Linked DNA regions of Mus musculus. The protein of the gene in region 2 purifies or fractionates together with the protein of the main gene of each other region. This does not show direct contact. Links are inferred from orthologs where the notes say so. Each region holds a gene or a part of one and is shown on either strand. Other genes may lie near its edges. The genes, in order: Eftud2, Ddx23, Prpf6, Snrnp40, Prpf8, Sart1 and Snrnp200.

Region 1 (2,908 bases), on a different chromosome or scaffold from region 2:
ATAAACATGCTCGAGCACGCACTCAAACCTATTCACACACTCAAAGGAAGAAGCTGGGTGTGGTGGCACACACCTGTAATCAATCCCATTACCTGGGACATAGAGGCAGGAGGATCAGGAGTTCTAGGCCAGCCTCAGTCACATAGCAAGTTTGAGTGCCTATTAGATTCTTTACTTAAAAAAAAGTCAGACATGGTGGTACACACACCCTCAATCCCAGCACTTAAGATGCATCCAGGTAGATTTCTATGTTATGAGTTCCAGGGTCAGGGCTACATAGTGAACGCCTGTCTTAAAAAACAACAACAAAAACAGAAACAAAAATCAGGCATGGTGGCTCAAGACTGTAGTCCCAGCACTTGGGAGGCAAGACAGGAGGAATGCTGCAAGTTCAGGGCCAGCTCCATCTGCATAGCAAGCTCTAAGCCATCTGGGGCTACTCATATCACCCTGTCTTGGGGAAAAAGAAAGAAAATGATAGAGGCTGGCAACATGTACCTGGGCACCTGGGACTGACAGCCTCCTCCTCTCCCACACTCACTCCAAGCCTGCCCCAGCCTCAGCTCTACAGCAGGAGAAATTGCTTGAGATTGTCTGGGGGCTGTGTGGTGTGTGTGTGGTGTATGTGTGTGTATTGTGTATGTATGTGCGTGTGTGTATGTGTGTGTTTGTGGTGTGTGTGTGTGTATTGTGTATGTATGTGCGTGTGTGTATGTGTGTGTTTGTGGTGTGTGTGTAGGTGTGCGTGTGTGTGTGTGTGTGTTTGTGGTGTGTGTGTGTGTGTGTGTGTGTGTGAGTGAGTTGATTTTTGATGTCTCTCATAGACCAAGATGATCTGAAGCTCACTACATGGAAGTGTCAGATCTTTCTGCCTGCTAAGCACTGAGATTCAAAGCATAAGCCTCTATGCCAGCTTCAACATCAGTTCCTTTTTTTTAAATGGCTCCTCACACATGTTTACACGTGCTGTGCTGGCAGGCTCCACTCTCCAGCCCCAGCCGCACTTTCCAAGAAAAAGCAGATAAATGGAGAGATGGCTCAATGATTAAAGGCACTCGTTGCTCTTGTAGAGGGACCAACATTTTTCCAGCCACATGGTGGCTTACACTTCCAGTCCTTAGTAGCCAATACTCTTGTCTGGCTTCTTTGGGCACTCCACACATGTGGTACACTTACATACATGCAAGTGAAATAACTCATACGTATTTTAAAACAAAACAGAAATGAAAGAAGACACCCTTTGCTGAACTTGCTCCAAGATTCCATTTCTCTTGCTGTCTCAGCAGTCTGTGCTGTTGGCCCTACTCATCCTGTAACCTTCTCACTGCCCCTGTCCTTTCTGACCAGGAACAAGATCACCATGATTGCCGAGCCCCTTGAGAAGGGCCTTGCTGAGGACATAGAGAATGAAGTGGTCCAGATCACCTGGAACAGGTTGGAACAGTGTTCACACTATGGCGTCTTTGCCTGGTCTCCTGACACCATCCCTCTTTCGCTGTTGTCCTGACTATGGTGTGGGTAGAGTGGGCCGCTGTCTTACAGAAAGGCAGGATCTGTGGCCCCAGGAGTCTCCTCCTCTTTCCTCCAGAAAGAAGCTGGGAGAGTTTTTCCAAACAAAGTACGACTGGGATCTGCTGGCTGCCCGTTCCATCTGGGCCTTCGGACCTGATGCTACAGGCCCCAACATCCTAGTAGATGATACACTGCCCTCAGAGGTAAACCAATAGGATGCCTGTGGCAAAGTGTTATCCCTAGATGAAGAACCTGCAGTGCCCTCTTCCCTATTGAAAGATGGCTTCTCACAGCCGTACTTTCTCCTCCTAACACTGCCTGCTAAGACGACCTAATGTTTCTGCAGGTAGACAAGGCCCTTCTCGGCTCAGTGAAGGACAGCATTGTTCAAGGTTTCCAGTGGGGGACCAGGGAAGGACCCCTCTGCGATGAATGTGAGTCCACCTTCAACCCGCAGCTCCATTCCCCAGGACCCTGTACCTAGCCATGGGAGGCGGTGGCACAGGGAAGGGCTTCACGGCTTTCAGACACAGCAGGAAAAGATTACACTGGGCCAGCCTCCTCCCCGCTCACCCCCTGTCCCACCCCCAGCTCCTTCCCCATCTCCAAAATGAAGGCATCTCTAGATTGACCTGGATCCTAATTGCTGGGTAGAGCCCGTCTTTGGGCATGTTGAAGACAGATAACATGAGATAACATGAGGTGATCAGGTTGGAGTGGTTTATTGATGCAGTATAATCTCTGTGGGACCAAATACAATTTCTTTTTTTCTTTCTTTTTTTTTTTTTTTTTTTTTTTTTTTGTTGTTGTTGTTGTTGTTGTTTTGAGACAGGGCTTCTCTGTGTAGCCCTGGCTGCTCTGGAACTCATTCTGTAAACCAGGCTGGCCTCGAACTCAGAAATCTGCCTGCCTCTGCCTCCTGAGTGCTGGGACTAAAGGCGTGCACCACCATGCCCGGCCTCCAAATACAATTTCTAGAGCACAGTCTATGTCCAGAAAAAAGTTACTCAGAACCAGCCCATACGCTTGTAAGAATGTTCACACGTCACAGTGTGGCCGGACTCAAATGCTAAGTAATGTTTAAACTGCTGACCTATATGCTATTGGGCTTGCTGATCTGGATGTGAGCTGTCTGTATCATATCTTTGTGTGGCTGCAATATGGCCTCAGTGTAGCAAATTACCCTGCTGCTCCACCGTGCGCTTTCCATCTCCTTTTCAGTGATTCGGAATGTCAAGTTTAAGATACTGGATGCTGTGGTTGCCCAGGAACCCCTCCACCGGGGTGGAGGTCAGATCATTCCCACAGCCAGGAGGGTAGTGTACTCTGCCTTCCTCATGGTAAGTGGAGTTATAGGGGCTGTCCTGGTTCCCTGAGCAGAAAATTACATGGAGGA
Region 2 (3,906 bases):
GAGGCTAGGGAGCACTGTGGGAGGAGAGAGGCTAGGGAGCACTGTGGGAGGAGAGAGGCTAGGGAGCACTGTGGGAGGAGAGAGGCTAGGGAGCAGTGTGGGAGGAGAGAGGCTAGGGAGCACTGTGGGAGGAGAGAGGCTAGGGAGCACTGTGGGAGGAGAGAGGCTAGGGAGCACTGTGGGAGGAGAGAGGCTAGGGAACAATGTGGGAGGAGAGAGGCTAGGGAGCACTGTGGGAGGAGAGAGGCTAGGGAGCACTGTGGGAGGAGAGAGGCTAGGGAGCACTGTGGAAGGAGAGAGGCAGAGAGCTCTGTGGAAGGAGCAACACTGAGAGGTCTACATGAGAATTCCTCTCATCTCCTTACAGGATCTCTCCATCTTCTCTAAGGAACGCCTGCCAACACCATGCTTTAGTAAGAACACAGGCTCTGGCTATGAACTCTTCCCCCTTTACAGGGCCCACTGACAGCCGTGTTGGACTGCAGCCGAGTTATCACCCTCACCATCTATAAAACAGTGTACAATCTCTACCACTACCTGCTCTCACATGGCTGTTGTGATGCCCATTAATTACTAGCATTATTGTTAGTATATATTAGTGTAATTAATTAGAGCTCATTTGAGAAACTAACCTCACAGCCCATGCGTAGCCGGAAGCCTTGGTCTTCTCTGGAGATGCCACCGATGACAGCCACAGTGCGGATACCGAGTGGCTTTCCGAACTTGATGGTTTCTTCCTCAATCTGCTGAGCCAACTCACGGGTAGGAGCCAGGATGATGGCATAAGGGCCCTGGTCTGACTCTTCGATCCTGTGGTAAATGGGGTATCCCACATCTCCATAAGCTTTGGTCTCATTGACCACAAGCAGGAACAAGACAAAGTTACTCTTAGAGCAACTATGGGAATGGGCAGGTTGGTGATCCCATGTAAAAATCAGACTACAAGATAACCCAGGGCATATAAGGTTCTCTCAACAGACGACAAACAAAACAGCTACTGATTCTAGTTTGCCTTATGTCGTACCCAGCAATGCACCCAACTGATGGCGAGCTGAGCCTACCTGTCAATCTTGGGAAGTGTGGTGATCCAGACTAGCAATGGGATGAGGAAGGCTGCTGTCTTGCCACTGCCAGTCTCAGCTACACCAATGATGTCACGATTCTGCAGCCCAATGGGAATGGCCTGACGCTGGATAGGTGTTGGCTCCTACAGTGGCCCAGAATAAAAGTAATGGGTAGAGAATCACACCATCTGGGATAGAGCTAACCCAGCGGGCAAAGCATGCTCCCACCATATACCCGAGACACATAGGAAAGGGGGCCCAAGGAAAAACACAAGCCCTAAAGGCCCACATTTCCACCACAAAGTGACAGGCATAGTTAAGTTTGGTGCTGTGGGCAGAGAAGACGAAGGATGGTGAAGGAACAGAGCTCTCCAGTCCCAACTACATTTGCAGTCCTAGAACGTAGGAGGAGCCAGCGGAAGCTCTGGGTCAGTCTGCCCCTTTACCTTGTAGCCACACTTATCAATGACTTCCAGGATATGAGGGGGCAGAGACGAATCTTTCCAGGACCGGATGGGATTGGGGATCTTGCCACCTTTGGTGGTGATGCTGTAATCTTCACGGAAGATCCGCCAGTCCCTGTCCGTCATCTCATCCAACTTCTTCTGGGACCAATGGCGGTCATCCCAGCGTTGCTTGGCCTCCTTTTTGCGAAGTTTGCGGAGTCTTGCTCTGAAGAAGACATGATTGGAGGTTAAGCGAAATCAGTTTACTCCTTGTCGTGGCCTCCGCGCTCTGCCCAACCACCCTAAGCCCAACGACTCACTCCTCCTGCTCCTTTTCCTCCAGGGTTCGCCTCTTCTCCATCAGGTCTCCATAGAAACGTGACTGCTCTCGCTTCTGCTGCTTTAGGTCAATGCCTGCAATGAAGCCTCGCCCCAACAGCTGCACCTGGTGTCGTTCTTTATACCTGCGATGCAGACAGAGAACTGAGCAGTTCACGGCAAGGGCAACCTGCTGATGGGCACCGATTCTCCCCCAGCTCAGAAAGACTGGTCAATCCCTGCCTCATCCCAGACCCGCTTGCTTTTTCTGTCACTAGCTCTTCAGGACCACCCAGTGTCCGAGCCCCAGGATGTGGGCACGGAGCCACTCACAGGGGGTTGTAATCAATGGAGGTGTCTTCAGACGCATCCCACTCAAACACAAACTTTCGGTCATTGAGATGCCTTGTTCGGCGCCGTTTTTTGATGCCACCCAGGTAACGCTCCTATCAAGGAAAGCACAGAGCTCGTCAGCTGAGGTCCTGACCTGAGACAGAGAGAGAAACGACCAACCCTGGCCTCTGGGGGGGGGTGGGGGGGGTCTCGGCCGGTACCTTAATGGCGTGCAGCTCCTTGCTCTTGTCCTTTTCTTCCCGGATCTTCTGCCGCCCCTCCTCATCCTCATTTCCGTTGGTCTCCCGCTCCATCCTTTCCCTCCGTTCTCTCCGTTCCCTTTCCTGAGGATCTTCTGCAGACAAAGAAGAACAGCTGTGGAAGAGCTCCGTGGGAGGGAGAGGCTCGGAAAGCATGCAGGCAATCAGGACATGGGAGGAAAGCGAATGGACGTGGGGTGGGAAGGGGACCTAACACATTTCCATGACCTTTCACCATTCCAAAGTCTGGAACAAAAAGTCTCCATCTTCCGCCCTCCCATTCTTTTTGCAATGGTTGGCGATCAGACCCAGGGCCTTTTGAATGGCAGGCAAGTTCTACCAGGAGCTATAGCCTAATTTCTATCCCTCTCCATAACTTCACCCCACCCTTTCTACTCAGGACAGAAAACAAACCCAGCATCTTCCTGCCCAGGTCCTGGAACTGTTTCCTTTTCTTCCGCTCCTCTTCGAGCATCTTCTGGCGCTCCTCCACCTCCTGCTGCCGCCGCTTCAGAGCTTCAGCCTCCCGCTCTGCTTTAGAGAGGAATTTGGGCTTCAAGACAGAAGGGAATGGTTAACAGCATCTAGCCACATCACTGCCACAGAGACCCAGGAAGGCCCTAAATATTCACTTAACATAGTAAATATTCTGATAAAACTACATAGAGGCCTAGGACTCTGGCATGGACTGCAGGTACAGCCAGTCAGGTGGCATGGTGGGAACACAGCAGCCTCCTGGCATGGTAGTTCCATGAGAAAATAACGTATCAATACCGAGGAGACGAGCCCACAGAGGTGACTGTAAGGACAGAAAAGGCATCGGCATCGGCATCTGTGAACGGGCCTCAGTGGAAACCACTGGTACTGCAGCCGAGACTTCTCAGTCCTAGAGCTCCAACGCTGAAGCTGCCCAGTTGTGGCATTTGTTAGAACAGCCAGAGCACATGAATCCAGATGCCACAGCCTTACCTTAGCTTCAGCTTCCTCCTCAGCCTTTTTCTTGGCCAGAAGTTCCTCCAGGGACAGTGGCTGGATCTGAGCATGAGACATGGGAACTGGGTTTAGAAAGATTCTCCCTCATGGAACTAGAGACATGGCTCCGAGGTTAAGAGCACTGGCTGCTCTTCCAGTACCCATATGGAAGCTTACGACTGTCTACAACTCCAGTTCCAGGGGATCTGACTGCTTCACACAGACATACATGCAAACAAAACATAATGCACATAACAAGTATAAAGGAATCATTAAAAAAAGATTCTCTTCCTTAGCTGGGCACTGGTAGTAGCGGCAGTGGCGCACACCTTAACCCCAGCACTGGGAGGCAGAGGCAGGCGGATCTCTGAGTTCCAGGTCAGCCCTTGAAGGAGGCGCCAGCCCACCTTACCTTAGGTCGCTTGTCTCCATGTTCATCCTCGTCACCCTTCTTAGAATCTCTGTCCTTCCGAGACTTGAAATCCTTTCCTCGGCCAGGAGACAAGCTTTAAG
Region 3 (3,906 bases), on a different chromosome or scaffold from region 2:
TTAAAGAACATAAACTCAAGATAGGAGGCACATGGAACACTGGCTTGGGAACAGCAAGGAGTGACTTATTTACTTTAATAAAGCTCTTTGTAAGGTTTATGGCTGCTCTGGCTGAGGGCATACAGAAGTTACTCTGGGAAAGGGAAGCCTAAGCTAGCAAGGCTGGGACCTAAAACCTTGGCCATCTGCTAGGGCTACAGACACTACAGAGGTGCCAGGTAGCAATGTGAAGGTAGTTGCACCAGAATCTGAACACTCAATGCCACTTAAAACCAAATTGGTCTAAGGCTCTGTCTCCACCAGTGGCACAGTCCTGTGCTGGAAGGTGATAAATCACTTGATGACATTGCAGTTCATATGAACCATGGATAATCATTTCTGTACTCCAGGACAATGGATTACAGCAGGTTATTCCCAGGGTCACTGAGCTGAAAGGGTCTGAGTTCTGCTAACACAATGAAAGTGCAAGCCTCTTGGCTCTCTGGGCAGTGATGGTGATAACTTTAGTCCCACCAGTTCAGAGGCAGAGGCAGGCAGATCTCTGAGTTTGAGACTAGCCTGATCTACAGAGTGAGTTCCAGGACATTCAGGATACACAGAGAAACCCTGTATCAACAAACAAACAAACAAAAAACAAACAAACAAACATCCAGCCAACCAAACAAACAAAAAACCTCTCAGATAAAGCCCCTTCAGTCAAATGGGCTTGGCTTAATACTTAAATTCTGTGTGGACCAATATCAACAAATCTGTCTTGCATGTAATCCAGGCCCCATGTGGTACTGAAACAAAGGCAACAGTCCCATCAGAAGCCTGGGACTGAGGATGAGCCAAAGAACCCAGGAGACCTGAGAAGAGGGAGTGACCAGACAGATGTCTAGACTGCACCTCAAGGCCTCTAGCAACAGAGTGCTGCCCAGAACGCTGGAGCAGGAGTTTTGGCAGCAGAGGCCCATGTAGCTCATCCTGTGCAAACAAAGTCAGAATAGCCAGGCAAAGAGGCTGGCAAAACTATACCAGAACCCCATGCTATCCCAAAAGAACAATTACTCACTTAGCCACAGCTAAAAGCACATGGGGGTCATGTTCACACTTCTTCAGGGCATCCACACTCTTGGTCTTTCTCTGGGGCCTTGCCTCAAGGAAGACAGCTTCAGACCACAGGATACCTGAAATTCACAAGCAAATATCTACCCCTCAGCCTCACTTCTGGCTTGAGAAATGCACCCTCTTCTTTAGGATTGCCCAAAAAGGGTATACTCAGGGCAACCACAAGGGTCTCAAACATCTAACCAGTAACCTGAATTATACCAGCCTTGCCAGAACAGAATCAGGTAGCTTTAATTCTTACCGAGTCAGCAAACAGGCAATGGGCAATGATAATCTGAAAGCACTATCACATACTGCTGTTAAAAATAAAGAAAGCAGCCAGGTGGGATGGTGCACACCCTTGATCCCAGCACTTTGAAGGCAGAGGCAGGAAGATCTCTATGAGTTTGAGGCCAGCCTGGTCTATAAAGTAAGTTCCAGGACAACACTCAGGACTGTTACACAGAGAAAGCCTGTCTCGAGAGAGAGGGGAGAGGGGAGAAGGGAGAGGGGAGAGGGGAGAGGGGAGAGGTGTACCTGCTAGTTCCCACAGAGGCTAGATGAGGGTGTGGGTAAGTCTAGCAAAAAACTCAAAACAAAAACCAAAACAAAAAACTACCACTACTAGCACAAGAAAACTTAGCAAAGCAGATGGTATATGACACTACTGTCCGACTACATTTCTTATATACCATATATAAGAAAAATAATAAAAGTTAAAACTTGTCTTAAGGGATTGGAGAGATGACTCTGAAGTTAAGCACACTGACTGCTCTTCCAGAGATCCCAAGTTCAATTCCCAGCAACCACATGGTGGCTCACAACCATCTGTAATGGGATCTAATGTCATTTTCTGGCACACAGGTGTACATGCAGATAGAGTATACTCGTATACATCTTTTTTTTAATAATTTTTTAAAGATTTATTTATTATTATATGTAAGTATACTGTAGCAGTCTTCAGACACACCAGAAGAGGGCATCAGATCCCATTACAGATGGTTGTGAGCCACCATATGGTTGCTGGGATTTGAACTCAGGGCCTTCGGAAATATAGTCAGTGCTCTTAACCGCTGAGCCATCTCTCCAGCCCCCATTTACATAAATCTTTAAAAAAAAAAAACTTAGAAAAATGATAGTGCCTCAGAACATGAAATCAAACTGTCCCATACTAAAACTGAGGATTTAGTCTGAAGTCTTTGTAACCACATCAACGAAGCTAGACTAAAATGGGACACACAGGATGTGTCTTCCAGGAGTCCCTGAAAGTCAACTGATCCCATCCCACAAAAGATTTCCTCTGTGCCATACGACACACATGGCCAGGAGTCCTTACCAGAGTTAGGGCACTCCTGCAGCGCCTTGGCCATGAGGGTATTGGCAATGTTCTTCAGCCCTGCCCGGTACTCCAGCCGCACTGACTCCAACCTAGGAAAACAGGCCCAGGGATGGGACATCCCCATCTATCATAGCACAACCAACTACTTCAACTGGCCTTCTGCCAGAGAGACCCTTTTAAAAGGCTTTTGCATTTTTACTTTATTATTATTGTCATGCTACCACACATAGGTGGAAGTCAGAGGACCACTTTTGGAAACACTGGGTTCCACTAAACTAAATGCAGATTGTCAAATTTGCTCAGTAAGTGATTCTTCCCCACTGCCTGTAAAGGAAGGCTCTTGTCTCCTAGAAGGGGGTTAGAATTTCATTCTCTACATGGATGGTAGTACTGGTGTCCAGTCTATAAGAAGGCAGCATTCCCATCTAAGATCCCAGACTCCACAGGATCCAGATACAAGTGAAGACAAGGGAACAAACACAGACCATACATGATCACTACATGGCAGGCACCTAAGAATGACAACCCCCGTCCCCCAGCAGTGTCCTCTCTCATCTCTGTCTAACCCCTAGCTGGACTCTGCATCCATTACCCACACCTCGTCATGTGGCCCAACCTGGCATAACTCACTAGCCTTCTCCATTGATCTTCCAGGTACTAGGGAATATTAGTACCACCATACTCAGCTCCCTCTAGCAAGTTTCTTCATGTTACTCAAGGCCTTCTTGTTACCTCTTTTATAGTCCACTTTCTCAGTTCCGTTCCCTGACATCTCAGAACACGTCATCAAAAGTGCACTTACCATCTAGACCCAGCTCTCCCAAGCAGGACTATGACCCTCATAAAAGCTGTCACCTATTATTGAGTCCACAGGAGACTGGGTAAAATGAAGAAGGAACTGAGGAGCCTCAAAGGGGGAAGTGAGGTGATTACCGAGAACTCACCATAGCCCAGGGTTCTTTGGGTTTTTCAGACGAGATTTCTCTAAAATGGCCCGAGCACGTGTCAGCTGCCCAATCTTTTCCTCTAGTCGGGAAAGCAAGAGCCAAAGCGGTGTGGAATGAGGACATTTCTTCAGCTGTGACCAAAAAATTGTACAAAATAATAGTTCAGAGAGCATCTACAAAAGACTGAGAACTGTGGTCAGCTCATAGGAGCACTTTAGGGCTGTTAAGACACGTGCTTCATACTCGACATGGCTCTACAGTGTGCACATGCAAACAGGTATGCATCGGGTTACTGTGTGCAATTGTGTTGTATACAGGTACAGTAAAGGATGCCTGTAGGACTCTGAATATGTGTCATGCACATGTGTACACAGGGTGTGCACTTTGTACACAATGTGCTCATTGTACGACTTTTGATGTACTGAACAAACCCTATATATCCCAAACACAGGGTGTGCAACTTTGTAGGAAAAAAACACAGTACCCACAGTGACAGGAAGAACAAAGGCTCAATTCCAAGCACAAAGTTCT
Region 4 (4,486 bases), on a different chromosome or scaffold from region 2:
CTTCCAGAGGTCCTGAGATCAATTCCCAGCAACCACTTGGTGGCTCACAACCATCTGTAATGGGATCTGATGTACTTTTCTAGTGTGTGTCTGAAGACAGCTGCAGTGTACTCATATAAATAAAAGATAAATACATCTTTAAAAAATTATATATATGCGCTCTTGGTAGCATGGGCCTATAATTCCAACACTTGGGAGGCAGAGGCAGGAGGATTAGAAATTCATTCTGACTACATAGCCAGTTTAAGGTCAGCCTGGGCTACATGAGCATGACAGAAGGAGAGTAGAGGAGGGGAGGGAGGGGAAGAGAGGAGGAAGGGGGAGGGAAGAAGAGAAAGAGAGCAAAGAAGAATATATAACTCCAACCGAAGCAACCTACTTTCCAATTAGTACATTTCCTTCCTTTTATTTTACACATGCCCTGCTTTAGCATGACTATAGTTTAACTTGGCAATTTAGACTGATGTCTGAGGATTTCTATGGCACTCAAAATTAAAGAGATCATTATTAGCAGAGAGCTGTATGTAACTCCAGTTCAAAATTGTGCCTTACGTATTAGCCGGTCAAATCCTGCAGAAGCCAGGGTGGATCCATTGGGGTGAAACTTGCAGCAGTACACTTCCCCCTCATGTCCCGAGAGCAGCATGATTGGAGCTTGAAGGGAAGAACACCTGGGCGGTCCCTAAACCAAAGACAAGTGTGAGGCAGCCATTGTCCACAGGCAAAGGAAAGCTGGGGCAGCGCATCTCATCTGGGTCAGGGATAGCACAGATCTCACCTGGGTCAGCGATAGTACCCCTGCTCACAGAACTCTCTGACAATCCCTTGGACAGTCCAGCATATGCCCAATGCGCTTTTTTCTCCCTAAGGCTGTCTCTGTTCCACAGACGACTTCTGACTGCTTGATCATGTTGAATCCACTTATGCTTCAGAATCTTAACATAGAAAGATGTCTTTCACAAGAGACCTTCCTTATTTTGTATCTTTTAAATATTTCCTCCTCAGAGTCTGTCTTTCATCACTCAAACTAACCTACTTTGAGTGAGGTACCTCCCCACACCAGTATTCCACTAGCTCCAGGGCAGGCGGTCAAAGCCCCATCACTACCTGAATTTCCCTTTCTTGCCTTTCTTTTTCCCCAAAGAGATGAAGCTCTGGGAGTACAGGTACATTCTTCATTTTAGTCACCATTTTCCTGTCTCAAGTTCACCCAGCTAGCCTTTGAAAAACCTTGTATGGTACAGCTTATTACGCAAAATAGATTTTGGGGGAATGAGCAGGGTCTTAATATGTAGCCCAGGAAGGTCTTAAAATTTTCAGTCCTCCTAAGAACAAGTGTGTATCACTGTGCCAGGCTTAGCAAAGTAGATTTGATTATGATCTTGGAGAATAAACCTAGGCAATCTTACTCATTAAATAAGAACAAGTGTACTACCAATAATCCTGAAATCTCTTTAGCAGATTCCGGCAGACTTACTTATTTTTATTATCATGTACTATCTATAAGCAATGGGTTTCATTTTGATATATCCATAAATGCAAATAATGTACCAAGATCATACTCATCCAACATTTTTATTCAAAAAGTGTCACATGTTGGCTAAAGAGATGGCTCAGTGGTTAAGAGCACTTACTGCTCTTCTAAAGGACCCAAGTCCAGTTCCCAGCATCCACAATGGGCAGCTTTCAAGGGCTGTAACTTTAGGGTCAGAGGATCCAACATTCTTTTCTGGCCACTGAGTTCCCCCTCCCCACATATGAAACACACACACACACACTCACACTCACACACACACACACACTCACACACACACGCCTAAAACAGCACTCAGTAAAACAGTAGACCTTGCATTCTAGTGGAAAGTGAGAGAAAGGCACACAGAGCCACCCAGTGCTGAGTGCCATGGGAAGAAACAGTATGGGTTCCAGATTACAGGACACTCCAACTTGAAACACAGTGGTCAGGAAAGCCCCTCTGAAAACCTGGTGTCTGAGCAAAGATTTGAAAGAGCAAACAGCTGACCATGTGGGCATTTAAAAGAACATTCCAGCAAAAGCACCAAGGAAAGAAAGAACATTATAAGTCGGTGTCTTGAGCCAAGTGACATGCCAGAAAACTGGTAGATGAACAAGGTAAGGAGGGGATTATTACAGAGAATTTGATTTTTAAAAAAACGCACAATAGAAAGCCAACATAATGTTTTCAGCAGAGTATACCATGTGACTTAATATTTCCATGATTCCCCTGGCTACTGGATTAATAACCAATCCTTGGTTCAAAGACAAAAACCAGGAATACTAAATTAAGCTCTACCTGCAGTGATGTCAGATGACATAAAAACAGTTTTAACAAGAAGGTAAAAAAAAAGATCATAGTTACACAGATCTCTTCTCTTCTCTCTTTCAACAGGACTTTGCCATAATAAATAGCCTACACTGGCTTGGAGCCATGGATCTTCTGGATACAAAAAAGTTTGCCTTCCCCATTTGCAAAGTAACAGCTTCTTTCAGTCAGGTACCATGGTTAATGGAAATTTCACACGCAAAACATCCAAGATAACATCCAACGAGTGTTAATTACAATTATAAATGCAGAGAAAGAAAAAAGTTCTACCAGGTAGTAAAGCGAGCTATCATTCATTTCCATTGCCTCCCCTCTCATTCATTCGTCCACTCTGCAAACTTTCCTGAATGTTTCTTTTATGCTAAACCCCTGAAGATTTAGGATGCGGAAGCTTGGGTCTTGATTTTGAGGCCAAGGTTTTAAATGATTCAATGCCACTGAAGGGCTGAAAACAGGCGTCTACTAGGGAAACACGTATGAACCACACAGAGAACACCAGGCACCTTCACAGAAGCCTATTTTAACTTCAGGCTCACTGTCTTTCCGTTCCCTCAGAGGCGACATCATCCGTAGGAAGAGGGGCGGAGGGCCAAAGGCGGGATGACTCCCCACTTACCGCCTGCAGCAATGCCCCTGGAGTCGCCTGCTGCGGCCCCGCTCCGGGGCCGGCTCCTGCCGCTCCCAACAGCAACTCATGTCGCGGCCGCTTGACGGGAACCAGGGGTAGCTCCGGGCCCTTACGCTTCTGCTGCTCGATCATGGCGGCAGCCACTCTCCTCGGCGCCGCCACTAACCGCGCCGCCGACCGGAGGCGCCGCGCAATTGGTTCCAACTGAGTTCTTCCTCCAGAACTTCCGGAGAGGAGCAACCAATTGGCTTCTAACATTTCCTTCTGGAAAGCCCTCTGAATACACTCTTGTGATTGGTCCCATTCTGATGACGTCACGAGAAGGCGACTCTGGGATTGGGTCGCGGAGCTGGCGTTCTCCCCCGCCCCCTCGGGCGCGCAGTGCATCGTGGGTGAGAACGAGCGGAGCAGGTTTGGCGTTCCTAGCTATGAAGCGGCTGTCCTGCTAGGCGCGGACGCGGAGTGAGTGTGTGGGGAATCAGGCGGGTGGCTGTTCCAATCTGGAAGGTGCGAGGTGGTGATAGGCCTGAGCCTGCCCTTTTCAGCTATCAGCCTTAGCAGCATGGGGTGGCAGGAGGTGTCGCCGGAAAGAGAAGTCCCTTGGTAGGCTGGAGCGGAGCTTTGGCATCTCTGGCTCCAGGACTCGAACCCTCAGACGGCTATCCCTTGACAGCTGCTCTGCAGGATGCCAATTCTGCGTCTAGCTCTGTGCTGGCCCGAGTCCTGGCCTCCAGGCTTCAGTGCCGGACTTGGCTGAGGCGGCGGACTTAGTTGTCACTGATTTAGCCGTCTTTTTAAAAGGGCTTTAATTTATGTCCCCGAGACAGCCAGTGATGAGGAAAGTATCAGATGGTTCTTCCGAAGCACAGTTTAGTTGAGAAATCGAACAATCATGCTTGCGTGCCAGGTCTTCTCGAAAGTGGTCCAAATGATATTTATTGTGCAGTGCGTTTGGGGGTCATTCTGAAGAAATATGGTCCTCTACCCCAGAGTGTGGGAAACGTGTTAAACAAATTTGATGTTAAACAAAAACCATTTGATCGGAAGACTACCTAAACAAGCGATGCCTCTTGCTGTGAGTTACTAATATAAACTTGAAGGCTTTTTAAAGGAAAAGACATCTGAGCGGTTCCTATCTGATGGGACGGTTCTAATTAGGGGAAGAGAGGAAGGGAGAACGTTCTGCACAGAACAGCAGGTTCTATCAGTCGGAAAGATGAGGGAGACACAAAGAGCCGGTGTGGGGGGAGAGAGAGAGCGAGAGCGAGAGCGCTAGCTTAAAGTGAATATGGTATGGGATGAACCTGGAAGTCATGAAGATTTGCAGGAAGTTGAAGCTTTTACTTTAAAATTAATAGGAAGCCAGCGATAGTTTTCTCTCTCCTCCAGAATGTGGTGCAAAAGAGGACTTGATCCCTCAGGCTTAATGGTGTGATGAGATTGGAGAAAGATAAGAGGTTTACTGGGAGTAAATAGACCATTTCGGGAGCATGAACAGTAGTTCTGATCAGCAA
Region 5 (4,535 bases), on a different chromosome or scaffold from region 2:
CCCAAATTAGGACTAAGGTCCTACACGATCACAAGTCCTGCCTCCTCATCTCCACCTTCATCTAATACCACTCTCCCTTTCAAATGTCTTGGTGCGGGACCCAGTCTGTAGAAACTAACACCCGTCCCTTTGAAAGCAACTTCCTTCTACCCTTCCTGTAAATTCCAATACCTTCCCTGTTCTATGTGGTAACCATTTGTCTCTCATCCATCATACCACTAAACTTATACTCCTAAAAAAAAAAAAAAAAAAAAAAAAAAAGGACCAATACGGTCTATTCACTGAAGACCAAAAGCAAGTTTCAATAATAACAGTAATAATGTTTATTGTTGTTTGTTTGAGACAGGGTCCCACCGTATAGCCCTGGCTGGCCTGAAACTCACTGTATAGAACAGAAGTCTCACCTATCTCTGTCTCCCATGCACAGAGACTAAATGCCTGTGCCACCACACGTGGCTTTGCTGTTTTTGATGGAGCATCTCACCAGGTAGTTCAAACTGGCCTCAAGCCCATGATTCTCCTGCCTCTGCAGCTAAGGGCAGAGATTACATGCAAACACTACCACGGCTGCTTAAGTTATTTTTGTTGTTGATGTTTTATTTTTTAGGACAGAGTTTCTCTGTCCAGCCTTATCAGTTATAGAACTCACTCTGTAAACCAGGCCATCCTCAAACTCAAAGTAATCAGACTCCCAAGTGCTGGGGTTACAGGCGTATGCTATTACCTTGCCCGGCAAGAAGTTGTTGTTATTGTTATTTCTTTTTTTTTTTTTTTTGCCGTCGTACTTTTATTCACATCATGTATTGTTATTTCTATTAATGGTTTTTTCAAGACAGAGTTTCTCTATATAGCTCTGGCTGTCTTGGAACTCACTCGGTAGACCAGGCTGGCCTTGAACTCTGAAATCAGCCTGCTTCTGCCTCTCGAGTGCTGGGATTCAAGGCGTGCACCACCACTGCCTGGCTAAGAAATTATTTTTTGGCTAAGAAATTATTTTTTGCAATAAAACTCTCAAGGTGGGGCTAGAAAGATGGCTCAGCAGTTAAGAGCACTGATTGCTCTTCCAAAGGTCCTGAGTTCAATTCCCAGCACCCACATGGTGGCTTACAACCATTTGTGATGGGATCTGATGCCCTCTTCTGGTGTGTCTGAAGACATCTACAGTACACTCATATAAATGAATTAAATAAATCTTTAAAAAGGAAAAAAAACAAAAACAAAACAAAACAAAAAAACTTCCAAGGCTTCCCCCACATCAATTAATTAACAGGCCAAATTTTTGTATCCAAATGGAATGTTAAGAATCTCTGCAGCTTGAGGTGGAAGAATTAACAGTAAAAGAGCGACCCCAGGAATGAACTATCCTAAACCTCTGAATGATAGTGACCAAAGAGGCATCCAGAATGCCTAGTGTCTTAATTTGAGCTTCAAACAGTTCCACAATACCAGACATTTTACAACAACACCAGCAGGGCAAAGCAAAACAATCAATGGCATAGGTAGACGATCTGGAAACTATCACAGAATCCCAGTGGTCCTAGCCTTACTCCTACAGTCATCCTATGTACAGCCTAGAGCCATGTTCCATGCTGGACACGGTGACATCTGCCTTCAATCCCAGCTCTTTGGAGGCAGAGGCATGGGGATCCCTATCGGTTAAAGGGCAGCCCGGTCTACAGAGCTAAATCCAGGGCAAAAATGCCCACACAGGGAAACTGTCTCAGTTAAAAAGTCACATTCCAAATGCTAGTCCCTCTATCCAGCACTGTCAATGAAGGGGCAGAGGAAGGAAAGAAGTCAAACTCCATATGATATTATCCTGGGATGTTACTCACCCCAAATAGACCCTTTTGTCATGACGGAACTTCCTGTTGGTCATGTCTCCATGGTCTCGAATGATCTTCCTGACATGTTCTGGTGGCATGTCTTCCTTCTGAGCATCCACAAACCCAAATTTCCGCTTCTCTGCATATCGCTTGGCCTGCAACTGCTGCCATTTTCGAGCTAGAAAAGCACCTCAGCTTAAAGGGCTGCACACATTTACCCTAATTATCCCTAACTCTTGCCCTGGGGCAACCCTCGGCATGCTGTGAAGAGAAATACTCACTGCCAAGTATCCTGCCATTTTACTACCCCAAACCACCTGATATTTTTGCTATAGATGTTTTGGGGAGGGTTGTTGTCTAATTCCTACATAGTAATGCAAACCCTATAAGGAAACAGGTTTTATCGTCATTGATGCATTTTACACACACACACGTACACAATAAGCTCCTGCAAAATAACAGGCACTTCCAAACTTTCAATGATTGGACTCAATTTTTAAAAATGTAAATACTGCTAATAAGCACACCCCTGATGACCTGCCTATGGAGGGAAGAAATGAAACCCGCCTACACGTTCGAGCCCGCGCACGCCGTTCCCGTTCGCCTCTCACCTTTCTCCTGCAGCTTCTCCTCTGACATATAATCCGGCAGCGGGGCTAGAGGGCCGGGCACCGGGTTACCCGGCCCTCGGTAAGGAAACACTCCGGCCATGCCGGGAGAATCTGGGATAGAGAGGCAGGCCAAAACTAATGAGCTAGGCCCGGGCCCACAAGGGGCAGATGGAACACGTCCGGAGCCCCCTGGCCTGCACTCTAGCCGGGCTGAGCGCTCGGGACCCGGGCCTGGCGCAGCTCCTCGGGCCGCTCGGCCCACTCGATTACCTTGCGCTCAGCCTCAGACGCCCACCACCCACCTGTCGCCCCTCACTCAGGTAGCGGCTAGGCTCGCAGAGCAATGGCGGAAAGACGACGTCCGCTCCGCGTTCCCAACTCCAGGAAGTGCGCAACCAGGCTCAGAAGCTCATCCAATAGACGCCGAGATGCTCTGATGGATTAGCGACATCTCCAATTGACGTTGCAGCCCGAGCCGGAGAGGCGGGTCTAAAAGCGGATTTCAGGGCGAGGGGTGTGGTCAGGGTAGGCTCACGCCCCGCCTTCTGCCAGTCAGTTTAGGAGCCCTCTCTAATAGATCTGACATTTAATTGGCTATTGATATTGTTCCTCAAAAGCCAAAGCCATACAATTTTAATAAGTTTGCGTACGTTGCACATTTCCCCTATATTTATTCTCATGAATTCAGAGCTGATATGTAGTACTAACTCCTACTCAATGAATCCTTTGTTCTTCTATTCCTTCATTACATTACTGTTAATAGTGGTAACTATGTACCAAAGAGTCAAATAACTCTTGGACCATCCAAGGCAGAAGGAAGGCTGGCAAAAATGTATGATGATCTGGGATGGGAATGTACTTCAGTTTGTACAGGAGGCCCTTGGTTCATTCCATTTCTGGCAATGCATAGACCTGTAGGATCTCAGCACTGGTGGGGGGTGGGGGGTGGGGGTGGAGGGGCGGGAGGTTAAAGGCAGAATAGTCATAAATTCAAAGTCTGGTCCTGGAAAGAGGACTAAACGATTAAGAGCTTTAGCTGTTCTTCTAGAGAACCTGGTGTGATCCCCAGCACATGGTGCCTCACGACTGTCCGAAACTCTGATTCTAGGGGGATCTGAAAACCCTCTTCTGCCCTCTGTAGATACAGAACACACATGGTGCACATACATACATGCAACCCAAACAACCCATATACATAAAATATTTTTTTTTCAAAAAGACATTCAAATTCTTCCTCGGCTATATAGTGTTTACCAAACCTCAAAAACAAAACAAAACAAAACAAAACAAAGAATCATTAATGTTTTGCCTTCATGTATGTCTGCCCACCACGGACATGCCTGGTACCCAGGGAGATTAAAAGAAGACATTAGCTCCCCTGGAATGGAGATAGGTATGATCTACCACTTGGGTGCTGGGAACCTGGGTCCCCTGCAAAAGCAGTAAATCTTTTTAACCCCTAAGCTGTCTCTCCCAACGCCTAAAGATTCTTGTAACACAGCATGATGAGCACTGGCAAGCATAGCATGGTAATCTGACTTCAGGGCGCCAGATTTTGAGCTTAATGCTTGATTATTAGAAGTAACGTACTAGATTTAATGCCTGGAGCTTCAAGCAACAAAATTAACTGAAGAATAAAAATAAAAACCCTGCCAGCCATGATGGTAATCCCAGAACTTGAGAGGCAGAGGCAGGTGATCTCTGTGTTTTCAAGGCCAGCCAAATCTACATAGCAAGTTCCAGTACAGCACAGCCAAGGATCTAGAGAGAGACTGTATCAAAACAAATAATCGTGCTTCTTTGGGAGATGGAAAGGAGATAACCTAGAAAACTTAGAAATGTCTCTGGGGAATTTCACTGGTAACGACCTTCTTCTCTCATTTCTCTTTCCTCTATCTGGCAACGATCACTCTAACGCATGCTATAGACAAGAAAAAAAAATGTTCTGTGTAAATCATAAACCAATAAAGACCTTAGAAGGAAGCTTAGGAAAAAATATAGGAGCAGGACTGAGGATGTAGCTGACTGTAGAGCATTTCCAAGTATTGCAAGGAGAGTCTATATTATAGCCTGACGAGGAAAGATGGATGAGAAGGAT
Region 6 (3,906 bases), on a different chromosome or scaffold from region 2:
AGACACAGGCATGGCCTGAAGGGATGAGGACCCCAGAGCAAGGGCTAAGGCACAGCTGGCGTCAGACTTCTGGGGTTCTCATGACCACACTCCGAGAGCTAAGATATGCCTATGGTGTCCATGTGGATGGAGAACAGCCCTCCCTTCCCTCTCCATGTTAGGAGAGGGCTAGAGGTAACAAGAGGCGATTCTCAGCAAAGCCCGAGTGGGAGTCAGAGATCACACGCCTCTGCAGCTCAGAACCCAAGTCAGTGACTTGCCTGTGGTAATCATTCAGCAGTGAGTGAAACTCAGTAACCAAATATGCGACATTAGACCAATGTCCCAAATACAAACCTAAGTCGCTAACCTTCTCCACCCGCTGACAGCGAACCTGGGTTCCTGTCTGCCCTTGGCATCAAGTCTCCTGCTACTTGGTAGCCCCTAGGCCCTGCTCTCCCTAAGGTGTGGCAGCAACAGCACCAACCCAATTTCCTGAAAATAAGTGTGAGCTTTTAGTTAGGTGGTGGTGGCACACACCTCTAATACCAGCACCCAAGAGGCAGAAGCAGGTGGATCCTTGAGTTCAAGGCCAGACTGTTCTACAGAGTTCCATGACAGCCAGGGCTACACAGAGAAACCCTGTCTCAAAAAAGGAAACAAAAAAAGTGACCTCTGACCAATGGCCATAGCCAGTAGACACCATAATCAAGCACCTGAGACTTAGAGAAATGGACACTCCTGCACAACCATCACTAGCCAAGATCCACAGGCACAGCCGAGAACACCAACTGACCTCACCTCTTTTATGGTCAGTGTCTCAGGAACTGCTACCTAGTATCACTTATAAACAACTGGGTTTCCTGTCTCTTGCTTTTTTCTAGTTATTTGATACACTCACCAGAGACCCACATGGGGCTAGCTTCAGTAACTGACACAGGGCACTCATCTTCTGATTCAAAGTAGCCACCTGTGGGGCAGGGTCCTCCCACAGCCTGTGGCTCAGCAGGGCTTCTTCCACAGCGCCTTCCTAGAAAGCCCATCTTTCCAGGCACAGTTGCAGGCACCTAGCAGGGTGGCTCAGTCCTCGTATATAAGTGCACTCGAGGTAACCCCTACCCCAGTCCTGGGATGACCCTCATGCCTCCACAAATGCCACAGTAACACAGGGGACAGGAGGTAACATCTCTACCCTTCCAGAGAGCCTAGGCAATCCTTACTTAGTACCCTGAAAACTGTAACCAGGACAACACAGGGTGGTTAGTGGCTCTCTAAGGCCTAGCAACACGCATGTGACCAGTCTGAAAACAGCAATGATTTGGGATCAAGAAGCCAATTTGACCGCAGTGTGACAGGTACACGCCACTGGGTGGAGGGCTTCTGTTACAATGGAGTCAGCTCACAGAGGAATGTCCTCTGAGGGACCAGGCTGGTTTCTCACCTCCTCTGTTCATTAAATGGCCAGTCTTACAGGCAGAGATCAGACTTTAAATCACACAGGTTCAAGGATCAGGCCCATCCGCTCCTGGATAACCAGAGAGTGAACGAAAGAGCTCACCGGCGCCTCACGCATGAAGCAGGTGTTCTGACCACTCGGAAGGCAACACAGAAGGGCGAGGAGGCTCAGCGACTTGCCAGATGGCAGAACTGACCGTGACAGAGGCCTTGCCTAGGTCTAACCTTAGACAGCAGCACAACCAAGAGGAAAAATAAGGAGGGAACTTTATTTAACACTACATCTGGGCCAGGGAGGAGGGCGGCTTCATTTGGTGATGGTGTTCCTGCAGGGAGAAGAGGGTGGGCGATGAGGCTGTGAGACTGGAAAGGGGATGCAGTGCCTCCCCACCCCTCCGGCTCCTACTCACGCATTCATGCTCTTGCCACTGCCACTGAGCACGATATACGGTGTCTTCTGGGCCTTCTGCTTCTCCTGGAGCAGTGCCACGGTGCCCAGGGGCGTGTCACTGGAGCTCATTTTCTTCAGGAGCTGTGGGGCCACAGGAGGTCAGAACAGGGGGAGCAGGCCCAGCATATCACACATCACCCAAAAATGCAGAGCCCCCACCTCCCTCCCAAGACCCACCGCCTCCTCATCCAGCTTCTTCATCCGCCGCTCAGTCTTCATCTTGCCTGAGCCCTTTCCGTGGAAGCGGTGGGACAGCTGCCGGAATGCCTGGGATACAGAGCAGGAGCAGAGGCATCAGAAAGGCCAGGCAGCCGGGATGTGGGCGCACGCCTTTAATCCCAGCACTCGGGAGGCAGAGGCGGGTGGATTTCTGAGTTCGAGGCCAGCCTGGTCTACAGAGTGAGTTCCAGGACAGCCAGGGCTATACAGAGAAACCCTGTCTCGAAAAACCAAAAAAGAATCCAGGGTCCAGGGTGAGCCTGCCTCTGGGAGCTGGAGTTAATGCCAGCAAACATGGAACCAGCATACAGAGATGGGAAGCAGCAGGGGATGCTGGTAGGCATACTCAGGGCACAGGGCTTCAGCTGTGGCAGTCAGCACAGGTGTAACCTTCCTGACAGCCAGCCTGTGGGAACTTCAGTACTACGCCCAAAGTCAGCAACGGAGGCAGAATTCACCTCGTCACCTGTGGTCTGACCATCTCCACAAGACCCTGCTCACCTCCTTGGGAGTCAGTTTCCTGCCCGTCTCATCCACGTATTCAATCTTAACATCAGGCTTGTAGCCATCTTTCTCCTTGAAGTCCTGGGTGAAGCCCCTGTACTCCTCCCGTCGGCTGTACTTGTCATCAATGGCCCTAGACCAAGGCAGAGGGGCTCAGGGTGAGCTGCCTGCTGCCTACCCCATGTTCACAGCTGCTCCTATTTCATGTCGCCACGGCCACACTTACATCTTATCCTCGATGCAGTACACTGCTGAGGGCAGTGACTTATTGGGAGCCTTCACCCGGGCCACCTTTTGTACTGTGGTCTCCAGCAGTCCTAGGGACAGAGAAGTTTTGACACCCAGCTTCATACAGGTCCCTCAGAGCCCTGCTCAGGAGTTAAACATGCCGCATCTTTACGGACATCAAAGATCAGCACTTCCCTAAGGAGGCAGCACAGCTGGGATCTGGCCCCAGTGTATCCGGTTTAGCCCACTTCTGAGGCACGGAAGAGAAGCAGACCTCTCACCCCGCAGCAGGAGAGGCAGTGAGAGGCTCCGCGTCTAGGGAGCTGCTTGAAGCCCCGAGACTGAGGGGAAGAGGAGTGGAAACCCAGGACACCATACAGTACTCACAGGCAACCATCCAGCCCGTCCCGGCTATAGTACCCACACTGCCAAGGCTCCCACCCTGAGCCCACACCTTTGTTCTGACACAGGAGCAGGGCAGCAGCCAGCCCTCTGTTCACGATGGGCTCCTCATCCAGGATGGTGGTAGAGGAAGCAGAGAACTAGAGGTGAGAAAAGAGAAGTGTGAGCAGGCTGCCCCATCTCTTCTATCCAGCGGTCATCCTCACCAGGCACTAGGCTGTGGGACCAGTTTTAACTGACCCCCAGCTGGCTCTGGAAGGGTTAGTGCCCCTTCTATGGATGGGTGGAGGCTTTCAGGCACTGGACAACTAGCCTGGGTCCCCACACCCACGCCCACCGGTGCTCACATCCTGATGCTGCTTCTCCTCATCCAGGTTGACGGTGCTCCAGCCAATGTTCTCTTCCCCATCTGATTCAGAGCCACCGTTGGCCGAGCGCTCCTCATCCCTTTCAAAGTCCTAGGACCACAAGTCAGTGTCAGGGTGGGCAGCCTCAACCCTACCTGCTACATTCAAGCACTAGAAGCAGAAGTCAGCAGCCTAAGGACAACAGCCAGGGAACTGCTGACGTACCATGAGCTCTTCCTGCTCCTCGCGGTTGCCAGCCAACCCGTAGGTGGGGATCTCCCCCAGCGTGCGGCAGAATTCAGAAGTGGCATTGAACACGAT
Region 7 (4,703 bases), on a different chromosome or scaffold from region 2:
AAAATAATTCTCTTATTTTCAGTATAACATTCAGTTTTTAAATTGACAAGGGCACTGGGCGTGGTGGCGCACACCTTTAATCCCAGCACTTGGGAGGCAGAGGCAGGCAGATTTCTGAGTTCGAGGCCAGCCTGGTCTACAAAGTGAGTTCCAGGACAGCCAAGGCTACACAGAGAAACCCTGTCTCGAAAAACCAAAAAAAAAAAAAAAAAAATTGACAAGGGCTTATTTTATATCTTCCAAGTGGAACTCCATTTGGGAAGGTAACTATATTTGAAATGCAAATTCTTAGACCCCCTAAACGATAAAACTTCTTCCTACTAATAAAGAAGAAAAAAAGTAAATGAGTCCAACCTAGGGTTACTATGCTGCTCTTACTGTTAAATATGATAAGGTACAGCTTGTCACAACCATCCATAGCTGCAGCCACGGTGTTTATGAGTTGGAGGCAGGGGGATCAAGAGTGCAAGAGAAGTCTCTGGATAGCAAGTTTGAAGCCTGCCTGGACTCCAGGAGATCTTTTCTCAAAAACCAGATAAGGGCTAGAGAGATGGCTTAATGGTTATGAACACTGGCTGCTCTTTGAGAAGACCTGGGTTCCAACCCCTCCACACACATGGCAACTCACAACCTATCTGCAGCTCCAGTCTCAGGGGATCTGACACCCTCTTTTGGACTTCGTGGAAGTCTGCATGTAATGATACACAAACATACATGTAGCCCAAACACCTATCTACATAGAATAAAATGTAAATGATAAACCAAACAATAAAAAAAAATTGCCAGCAAAATGGCTGGGTGGATTAGGACACAGACTTAAGGTTCACTCGTGCTTATTAAATATCAAGGGAAAGCAGAACTCACTGTTTTGCTTTCAGTGTTGTGTAGAGAATTATGAAAAGACTAAATACCACCTTTACATAAAAGGTACCACTACTGCTGAATAAAACTGAATAGTAATTCCATACATATTATTTATTTTTCATATATTTCTTTAGTAAAACATTCGTGTCACATTGAGGAGGACAAAGTTATACATATGCTGTAATCCGCACACCTAAAGTCCTGACAGGCTGTGACAAAAGATTGGGCACAAATAGTTCTTCCTCTACCGTCAGTCAGCTGACACAGGGGAGAGTCTTGCGGAAAGGGGTTTGGGGTAGAAATCCAGTCGGTTACTAGAACTAGGTACATGCTAACTTGCTTTTTTTTTTTTTTTTTTTTTTTTTGTCTTTTTGTTGTTGTTTTGGTTTTTTGTTTGTTTTGTTTTGTTTTTCGAGACAAGGTTTCTCTGTGTAGCTCTGGCTGTCCTGGAACTCACTTTGTAGACCAGGCTGGCCTCGAACTCAGAAATCCACTACCTCTGCCTCCCGAGTGCTGGGATTAAAGGAATGCGCCACCATGCCTGTCTTGCTAACTTGCTTGAACCTTCAGCTTCCTTATCCCTTAGTTTCCGTTTGCCTGCATGTCTGCCTGCCTCACAGGATGGCTGGTATGAGAAACCAAAAGAATTACAGAAAGGGACTTTCAACATACGCTTAGGGGTTGGGCCTTGGCTCTGTCGCAGGTAGAGATGCCTGGAACCACAATTTGCACGCGCGTGTGTCTCGTCGGTCAATGGAATCCTTGACCCGGATGTACTACTGTACATCTCCGCAAACCCCGCCCAGAAGCAGTGGTTAGTAACCGGAAAGTCTCACGTTTAGCGGGCGTCCCGGAAGCGGAAGCAAGTCCGTTTCTTTTCTCCGTCCCTTACGTTCGTCCTGCGTTGTACCTGTTGTGCCAGGGCGGTTCGCTGAAGCGGTTCGGAGCGTGAAGAAGAGTGGAACCCTGAGTTCCCGGAGCATCAGCAGCCATGGCGGATGTGACTGCCCGCAGTTTGCAGTACGAGTACAAGGCGGTGCGTGTGGTCTCGAAGGACCGGTGCAGACAGGGGAGGTCGTGGACAGCCACGGACACTTGAGCGGGAGATCAGAGCTGGGTGAAGGATGGATTAAAACACGAAGGAAAAACCCCGTGGAATTTGGGGCGCTTGAGAATTTAGGAGTTGGGTTTTCCCCAGCCCCCTCAGCGCTAAACTCGCACCTTCTTCTCTTTACCCGCAATGTGCCCAACATTTTACCCAAATGTGGGCTGTTGTGGATGCTCTTAGGAGCGCTGGTCGTTCACCTTCTCAGACAGCAATAGTGCTCGCGCATCGTGTAATGCTATGTTATTTCTTCTTAAGAGCATGATTTTTTTTTTATTCCACTGTTTTCCCATCATCTGCTGTCACTGTAATAACAGGATTCAAAACTATACATATCAAAGTTTTGATAAAGTATGATCTTTTCAGAACTCAAATCTTGTGCTCCAAGCTGACCGCTCTCTCATTGACCGGACCCGCCGGGATGAACCGACGGGAGAGGTTCTGTCCCTGGTTGGGAAGTTGGAGGGAACCCGAATGGGAGATAAGGCTCAACGGACCAAACCACAGATGCAGGAAGAAAGACGGGCCAAGTAAGTACTAAGGGGATGCTGGATGCTATTTTTCCATCTAATGTAAAGCCCATCTTTAGCATTAGAGCAGTAGTTTTACTCAAGTTTATATGGAAGATGAGTGGTGTGTGCACAACAACCAAGGTTTAGAGCTTCTTTGGATTTAGGTGTAATGAAGTGGAACAAAATCTATTGATACCTTTTACTGACTCGTTTCTGATTCATAGATGTTAATTTTCTTCCGGTTATCTTTTTAAAAGATCTGTTTTATTTTTAATTACGTGCATGTGTATGTTCGTGTGGGTTTGTGCACACGTATGCAGATGCCTGTGTGGAGGCCAGAGAGGGTTTGAGAGTCCCTGGAGCTAGAGTTACAGGAGGTTTTGAGTTACCCAGTGTGGGGCTAAGAACTGAACTTGGGTCCTCTTGGAAAGCAGTACTGGGGTGAACAACTCGACTCTTCTCTCCAGCCCCATCCCCGACTGTTTTCAGGACTTGAGTTAATCTCCTCTCTGTAATTCACCTCCACCATGTTGTTACAAGCTTCTCTCCCCAACCCTTCTCTCCTTTTGTTGCCCAGCACTTCCTGATGATTTCTGTTGTCTTTTCATGTTGGTGGGTTCATTTCAAAAGTTAAATACTACTTACTTTATTTTGCCTGCCTTGCTTTTCTTTTCTCTTCTTCTCTTTTCTTTTCTCTTCTTTTCTTTCTTCAGAACAGAGTATCTTGCTCTGTAGACCAGGCTGGCCTTAAACTCAGAGATCCACCAGCCTCTGTTTCCTGAGCACTGGGATTGGAATTAAAAGTCCTGTGCCACCACCTCCCGGAAAATTGTGTTTTCTTTCCCCTCCGTCCCTCTCTCTCTCCCCTTTTAAAAAATATTTATTTTATGTATATGAGTACACTATAGCTCATCTTCAGACTGTAGCTGCCTTCAGACATGAAGAAGGCACCTCAGAAGAGGTCATCGAATCCCATTACAGATGGTTGTGAGCTACCACGTGTTTGCTAAGAGTTGAGCTCAGGACCTCTGGAAGAACAGTTAGTGCTCTTAACCGCTGGGCCATCTCTCCAGCCCTCTCCTCTCTCTTACTATGGAGTCTTAACAATCCCCAGGCCCTGTTTGATTTGAGTGCTTATGTTTTAGAAGAGCTTAATTATTGTTCCTTGGTCCTTCAGTTTTCAGAGTCTGACGTCTTTTCTAGTTGTTTATTGGGAGTCATTAAGAGTAAATTCCACTGGAGCCTAGTTTCTCTCACTCCTAAAAAGTGATGGATGCATCTAAGGTTAAAAAAAAAGTCTAAATCATATTATAAAATCTCATATGGATATAAAAAGATGTACATTTTAAGATAATGGAGACTGTATCTCATTGTAACAGCATATCAGAAGATGGCACATTTTCTTTCTATAAATCTGTCCCATAAAGAAGTGCTTCTTCAAATCACTAAGGTCTGGTAGGAGTTAATCATTTTGATTCATGTTCCTGCCTTCACATATTAGACGTATAGAAAGGGTAAGCTTGGCTTAGGAATGGCCAGTTCTTCCATTCAGCATCATGTTGTATGTCCTTTAGGAGGAGAAAACGTGATGAGGACCGGCATGACATGAACAAGATGAAAGGCTACACGCTGCTGTCTGAGGGCATTGATGAGATGGTGGGCATCATCTACAAGCCTAAGACGAAGGAGACCCGAGAGACCTACGAGGTGCTGCTCAGCTTCATCCAGGCTGCGCTGGGAGATCAGGTGAGCCAGTCTTACCTCTGGATTTTCCCAGTAGGATGGGGAGGGCAGTACCATTCGAGCAGAGAAGTAGTGAACATGTTCCAGGTCAGAGGCAGGCTGCTGAGTGCCTCTTTCACCTAGAGACATGTGGCAAGCTGTTGTGCAAGTTGTCTTCTGCTTCTGAAGACCACCTATGCCCCCACGCCCAAGCGCTCGGGCTGTCTCCAGGAGCTCACTAGTTTTAAGCACATGAGGCAACACTGTGTTAAGTCCTCAACAGCTCCCTCTAGGCTTGAAGGTTGCTTTTGTTTGTTGGTGTGAGATGAGGTCTCCTGCAGCTCAAGCTGACATCATACTCACTATGTATTTAAGCATGACCTTGAACTTTGGTTTTGTTGCTGCTTCCCATGTGCTAGGATTGCAGACTTGTGCCACTGTGTCCTGTTAACGAGTGTTCAAAGCCCAGGATGCTGCATATTTTCTTGTTTGCTTTGTAT

Evidence for each region.
Region 1: the proteins of Ddx23 (region 2) and Eftud2 purify together in Homo sapiens (affinity purification with mass spectrometry; 6 studies listed by BioGRID and IntAct, counting the BioPlex papers as one, with this or other methods). This does not show direct contact. The link is inferred for Mus musculus from reciprocal best matches to the Homo sapiens genes DDX23 and EFTUD2.
Region 3: the proteins of Ddx23 (region 2) and Prpf6 purify together in Homo sapiens (affinity purification with mass spectrometry; 3 studies listed by BioGRID and IntAct, counting the BioPlex papers as one, with this or other methods). This does not show direct contact. The link is inferred for Mus musculus from reciprocal best matches to the Homo sapiens genes DDX23 and PRPF6.
Region 4: the proteins of Ddx23 (region 2) and Snrnp40 purify together in Homo sapiens (affinity purification with mass spectrometry; 3 studies listed by BioGRID and IntAct, counting the BioPlex papers as one, with this or other methods). This does not show direct contact. The link is inferred for Mus musculus from reciprocal best matches to the Homo sapiens genes DDX23 and SNRNP40.
Region 5: the proteins of Ddx23 (region 2) and Prpf8 purify together in Homo sapiens (affinity purification with mass spectrometry; 5 studies listed by BioGRID and IntAct, counting the BioPlex papers as one, with this or other methods). This does not show direct contact. The link is inferred for Mus musculus from reciprocal best matches to the Homo sapiens genes DDX23 and PRPF8.
Region 6: the proteins of Ddx23 (region 2) and Sart1 purify together in Homo sapiens (affinity purification with mass spectrometry; 3 studies listed by BioGRID and IntAct, counting the BioPlex papers as one, with this or other methods). This does not show direct contact. The link is inferred for Mus musculus from reciprocal best matches to the Homo sapiens genes DDX23 and SART1.
Region 7: the proteins of Ddx23 (region 2) and Snrnp200 purify together in Homo sapiens (affinity purification with mass spectrometry; 3 studies listed by BioGRID and IntAct, counting the BioPlex papers as one, with this or other methods). This does not show direct contact. The link is inferred for Mus musculus from reciprocal best matches to the Homo sapiens genes DDX23 and SNRNP200.

What each region holds. Positions count from the first base shown.
Region 1 is NC_000077.6:102,840,208-102,843,115, reverse strand, and holds part of Eftud2 (116 kDa U5 small nuclear ribonucleoprotein component), read left to right. Parts: intron 1-1,347; coding exon 1,348-1,434; intron 1,435-1,588; coding exon 1,589-1,715; intron 1,716-1,858; coding exon 1,859-1,946; intron 1,947-2,733; coding exon 2,734-2,852; intron 2,853-2,908. UniProt on the Homo sapiens protein: Required for pre-mRNA splicing as component of the spliceosome, including pre-catalytic, catalytic and post-catalytic spliceosomal complexes. Component of the U5 snRNP and the U4/U6-U5 tri-snRNP complex, a building block of the spliceosome.
Region 2 is NC_000081.6:98,649,083-98,652,988, forward strand, and holds part of Ddx23 (probable ATP-dependent RNA helicase DDX23), read right to left. Parts: intron 3,900-3,906; coding exon 3,806-3,899; intron 3,457-3,805; coding exon 3,391-3,456; intron 2,975-3,390; coding exon 2,836-2,974; intron 2,517-2,835; coding exon 2,383-2,516; intron 2,275-2,382; coding exon 2,162-2,274; intron 1,975-2,161; coding exon 1,831-1,974; intron 1,737-1,830; coding exon 1,511-1,736; intron 1,208-1,510; coding exon 1,062-1,207; intron 811-1,061; coding exon 633-810; intron 1-632. UniProt on the Homo sapiens protein: Involved in pre-mRNA splicing and its phosphorylated form (by SRPK2) is required for spliceosomal B complex formation.
Region 3 is NC_000068.7:181,649,697-181,653,602, reverse strand, and holds part of Prpf6 (pre-mRNA-processing factor 6), read right to left. Parts: intron 3,507-3,906; coding exon 3,373-3,506; intron 2,518-3,372; coding exon 2,426-2,517; intron 1,170-2,425; coding exon 1,055-1,169; intron 1-1,054. UniProt on the Homo sapiens protein: Involved in pre-mRNA splicing as component of the U4/U6-U5 tri-snRNP complex, one of the building blocks of the spliceosome.
Region 4 is NC_000070.6:130,358,824-130,363,309, reverse strand, and holds the start of Snrnp40 (U5 small nuclear ribonucleoprotein 40 kDa protein), read right to left. Parts: upstream 3,179-4,486; 5' UTR 3,105-3,178; coding exon 2,961-3,104; intron 683-2,960; coding exon 553-682; intron 1-552. UniProt on the Homo sapiens protein: Required for pre-mRNA splicing as component of the activated spliceosome. Component of the U5 small nuclear ribonucleoprotein (snRNP) complex and the U4/U6-U5 tri-snRNP complex, building blocks of the spliceosome.
Region 5 is NC_000077.6:75,485,094-75,489,628, reverse strand, and holds the start of Prpf8 (pre-mRNA-processing-splicing factor 8), read right to left. Parts: upstream 2,853-4,535; 5' UTR 2,538-2,852; coding exon 2,438-2,537; intron 2,005-2,437; coding exon 1,836-2,004; intron 1-1,835. UniProt on the Homo sapiens protein: Plays a role in pre-mRNA splicing as core component of precatalytic, catalytic and postcatalytic spliceosomal complexes, both of the predominant U2-type spliceosome and the minor U12-type spliceosome.
Region 6 is NC_000085.6:5,378,376-5,382,281, forward strand, and holds part of Sart1 (U4/U6.U5 tri-snRNP-associated protein 1), read right to left. Parts: coding exon 3,811-3,906; intron 3,697-3,810; coding exon 3,586-3,696; intron 3,379-3,585; coding exon 3,291-3,378; intron 2,926-3,290; coding exon 2,835-2,925; intron 2,742-2,834; coding exon 2,606-2,741; intron 2,153-2,605; coding exon 2,063-2,152; intron 1,967-2,062; coding exon 1,845-1,966; intron 1,761-1,844; coding exon 1,742-1,760; 3' UTR 1-1,741. UniProt on the Homo sapiens protein: Plays a role in mRNA splicing as a component of the U4/U6-U5 tri-snRNP, one of the building blocks of the spliceosome. May also bind to DNA.
Region 7 is NC_000068.7:127,206,639-127,211,341, forward strand, and holds the start of Snrnp200 (U5 small nuclear ribonucleoprotein 200 kDa helicase), read left to right. Parts: upstream 1-1,747; 5' UTR 1,748-1,855; coding exon 1,856-1,900; intron 1,901-2,335; coding exon 2,336-2,499; intron 2,500-4,055; coding exon 4,056-4,227; intron 4,228-4,703. UniProt on the Homo sapiens protein: Catalyzes the ATP-dependent unwinding of U4/U6 RNA duplices, an essential step in the assembly of a catalytically active spliceosome. Plays a role in pre-mRNA splicing as a core component of precatalytic, catalytic and postcatalytic spliceosomal complexes.